2 linked regions of the Kluyveromyces lactis genome follow. The protein of the gene in region 1 binds, or shares a complex with, the protein of each later gene. Links are inferred from orthologs where the notes say so. Each region holds a gene or a part of one and is shown on either strand. Other genes may lie near its edges.

Region 1 (2,246 bases):
ATCTCTAAAAGAATTTAAAAGCGAAAAAGATGTTTCAGCTTATCGTAATCACCTAAGGTTCCCCCTTGCAATTTGAGGAAATAAGTAGAGTTTTCTTTTCAATTCCAAACAACCACACAATCCATCCCATACTATTATGAATTATTGACTTAGAAACACAATAAACTTAAAATTTAAAAATAAGAAACAAAAAAGTGAAGGAATCACAGATCGAAGGGTATCTGGAATCAATTTGAAGAACTGTACCAAAAAAATTCAGAAGAAGAGACTACTCCACTACCATTATTTTATTATTATTATTATTATTATTACTACTAGATTCGGTTTTCTTCCTCTTTTTTCTCAAAAGAATTAAGAAAATAACCTTTCTCAACACCCATGGCATTGCAAATAGAAGGAAAGAGAGGAGTAATATGGTATCATTTTACTGACCCTTTCCTTTCAATAAAAAATTGGGATCAAGATATGTTAATTGTTTCCAAGTCTTAGTCATGTTTATTTATTTCATCTGTACCTAAAACCTTTTGTTCATCTAACATTTTCTTTGGCACTTATTTAATTTGTAAATGAAAAGAAAAAAACAATCCGTACAGCAGTCCGTCATACTTTTTCTTTGATGTTTATGCTCACATTATTGTCTCATTATGTTGATCTTCATGCTTAAATATTTGACGATATATTATGTCGTGCAATCTTTATTTGAGGCTAGTATGGGTTTGAGATAAACAGTTTTGGTCCATGAAATTCTGATAAACGAGGACTGTTTAAACTTTAGTTAACACCCGTACACCCATTGGTTTTATTTCTTTCAAAATTTGGTGTATCTCGGGAAATTCAAAAACTGAAAGAAATTACCGTATTTAGTATTTCTGCTGCTCCATTTTCGTCAGATTGCAGGTTTTCGCCTGCCACTTCATAGTTCAGACAATGAACCTTCACTTCAAACATCAATTGAAAGGAGTGAATGCTAAATTAAAGGTAGTTCGTGTTGTTACATTAGCAGTCGTAAGAGAACCGGAAACCAACTGAAAACGTACGTTTAAACATGGCACCTAAGTGATATATGGAGTACTGGAGAAAGACCGAACAAATTACCGTTAAATTGAGGATCAGTATGATCTTTATTCACCAAGTTTGATATCGAATTAAAACGAGAGGTAACCATCATTGACATTGACTAGAGAAGAATCATGCCGTAACGAATGAAACTTAGAGCACTATTGACTGAGATTTGTTAACTGATGATCGGAACTAACTGCTGAAATGGAGGGCAGAACGAATACAATACTGAGAACTTACTACACGACGGAGTCAATCAATGGACAAATCAGGTCTTATACTTTACAAGCAATACTCCTGGCAGACTTTTAACATATGGACGATTTAATTTTCCTCTGTACATCCATTATATCACAGAAAACACTTATCAATTCCAAATTCAATTTTACTAACAATATTAATGATGAATATATTTTCCTATAGTTCGAAATGGCTAAGTCTAAGAACCATACCGCTCACAACCAAACCAAAAAGGCTCACAGAAACGGTATCAAGAAGCCAAAGACCTACAAGTACCCATCCTTGAAGGGTGTCGATGCCAAGTTCAGAAGAAACCATAGATTCGCTTTGCACGGTACTGCCAAGGCTTTGGCTGCTAAGCGTGCTGAAAAGAAATAAGCAGCTTAGTATTTGTTCTGTCGATTGAAAAAAATGAACTTTTTTCCCAATTAGACTAACTCAACTATCTTGTATAACGTTTCTTTCATAATATCATTAATTTAAGATTAACTGACGGTTACTTTTGTAATTACGTTAATGCTCTTCAGGCGTCTTTCCTTAGCCTTAGAATCTCATCTCACAGTCACGTGCATGAAACTTTCAAAAAGTGTAAGGTATAGTTGTTACCCGGATACGTCAAGAACGGCGGCTAGTTTCCCTTTTTTATTTTTGAAGGACTCTATTGTGGAATTTTTCGTGTCAAAAGTCATCTAATTGACGCCACTCGCCTTATTCCTTTATTATATATAGATAAACGTCAGGTAGCCCCTGATTTTGTGACACAACTTCTATACAGAAATCTTCCTCGAAACATTATATATATGAACACAAAGTCAAAGGCCTTCTTGAATTCCCAATACATCGCTTGATAGTATAGGCAACAGTCGAAAGGGCGTACTTGTGGAGCTTAAGTTCACATCATATAGAAGATTTGGAAGAGTTTCAACAGGAAACAGCCAAGCGAAGTT
Region 2 (2,227 bases), on another chromosome or scaffold:
TCTTCACTAGTTTACGGGTGATTCTTATCATTTTTCTTTTTGTTCAGATGTCAATTCGGCAGACGTATATTTAACAATGGAAGAAAGCTTAACATAGAGTTCTACACAGTAAAGTTCGCACAGGGTCCAATTCGAAAGAAGGGGATTTCTGTACAGATGTAGGTACACAGGCATATCTCATATATATTATAACGCAAAAAATATTAAGGAATCAAAAACACTCCACAAAGTCTGATATGGTCCATTCCAAACAGATGATATATATCTAGAAGAAATACGAATACAAATTATATATACACATGAAATGACATATCCAAAAAACTGTACCAATTCCGAGAAAATCGATATTCGATGTATCGACAGATAGTAGATGAGATACCAAAATATGCTCTGTTTATTAGTGTAGTATGTCCCAACTGCCAGTATTTTTGCCAATGTGTTTCTAATATTTCTTCATGATGACGATACCTGTGGTAAGTAATAGATTAATATGACGCTAAAAGGAAATTCGAGGGAGGGAGGAATGCTCCTTGAGAAAATGTGTTGAATTGTTTTATTTGTTTTTTATATTTTGACGTTTAATCGAACAAACCGAAACCCATGTCATCGTCAGATTCTTCCTTTTCAGATTCTGGAGCTTCTTCAGCAGCAGCTTCAGAGTCACCAGAAGCAGCACCGGCACCAGCAGCTGGAGCAGCTGGACCAGCGGCGTGGAAACCGGACAAGATTTCCTTGATGTCCTTACCTTCCAAAGCCTTAGCGAAGGTTTCAGCCCACACGTTGTCGATAGAGGCACCGGCAGCCTTGGTCAAAGTCAACAAGTTGTCGGCAGTGACATCCAAACCGGCATCAGCCAAGATCAAAGAGGCGTAAGAAATAACAGCGTCAGACATTGCTAGTTAGGTATGATGTGTATATGTGGATCTATAGCAAAATCGCAACAACAAGCAATTGAACCTCAACAAACAACCTAACTACAACTTATCAATAAATACGTGTTGTATAATTAAACGTTCAATATCTTATTGAAATCTAGCTAGTTTTCCAGTGAAAAATATTATTCGGTGAAAATTCAGAAAATCTGGAAAACTGAACAAGATTTGAAGTTTTGTTGATCCAAAAACGACAACAAGGGAGGGTAAGTTTACACAGAAGAAGATGTACAAGACAACGCCATAGATGTAAGAGACACTAAAACACTTAAAACAGGAACAGCTACGTGTTGCCAATCGTCAGAATATCCCATAGCACGGGTTTCAACTACCACCGGCCCCAAAAAGTGTTGTCAAGCTCGGTAGAAATACAATATAATTTATGCGTATCTCAGGGCAGAACTGTCAATATGGGTGTAGTGTATGGGTGTTAAGTGGGATTTATTTCCATTAATGGAAAAAACAGAATATATTATAATGAGAAATTTAAAGTGAGATGACTGGGTTTTACACACAATCATGACAGCACCATATGAACAGTCCCGAGCTACATATTATAACATGCAAAAGTGATAATAAAAAAAGGATAATTTTTTCTCCGATACCGGGAGTCGAACCCGGGTCTCCACGGTGAGAGCGTGGTGTGATAGCCGTTACACTATATCGGATTACTAATTTTAGATATCTCAATAGGACTGAACTCACTTCCCCACGAAAGGGTAACTTCTACTAAGTTACTGTAAATAATATCTTTCCTTCAATTCAGTGTTTCCCTTGGATCACTGTGAAGCAACCTACGAAAGGTTAGGACTGACTGTTCATTCCATTGTGTAATCCTGAGTGAAATTGATTTCTAATTATAGTATAATGAATGTTAATATATTAAAATTGAATTACATGATTATAGTTTTGTTTTTAATCTCATTTTCAATATTACCAAAAACTTTACGTGTGGTGTCAGCGCATACGCGAGCCAATACGCATATACTCAACGCTTCCATAAGAAAGAACTGTAAAACGGCGAAGATGAACAAGTAAACACTTCTTCCTTGAGCGCTTACCAACGGGCGTTTTTAAGCTGACATGATAGATAAAAAAAAAATCTGTATCCATTTTCTTGGTTTTCATAATTTCGTCAATAATAAAATTCTCAATTTGACTGCGTAGAAAAAAACATTAACTACGATTGGGTTGATCTCATTAATCAACAGACAGCTTAGTTGATCGAATTGTAGAATATTTTAAAGGTTTTTTTCTTTGAAAAAGGGCGTTTAATGAATTGGGTTTGGATTTTG

The links. Proteins that work in one complex are often made in the same cells at the same time.
Region 2: RPL29 (region 1) and RPP1B share a complex: the UniProt entries of both Schizosaccharomyces pombe proteins name them as parts of the large ribosomal subunit. The link is inferred for Kluyveromyces lactis from reciprocal best matches to the Schizosaccharomyces pombe genes rpl29 and rpp102.

Annotation. Positions count from the first base shown.
Region 1 is NC_006040.1:1,353,680-1,355,925, reverse strand, and holds RPL29 (60S ribosomal protein eL29), read left to right. Parts: upstream 1-1,488; coding exon 1,489-1,677; downstream 1,678-2,246. UniProt on the Schizosaccharomyces pombe protein: Component of the ribosome, a large ribonucleoprotein complex responsible for the synthesis of proteins in the cell.
Region 2 is NC_006042.1:543,663-545,889, reverse strand, and holds RPP1B (ribosomal protein P1 beta), read right to left. Parts: upstream 894-2,227; coding exon 579-893; downstream 1-578. UniProt on the Schizosaccharomyces pombe protein: Component of the ribosome, a large ribonucleoprotein complex responsible for the synthesis of proteins in the cell.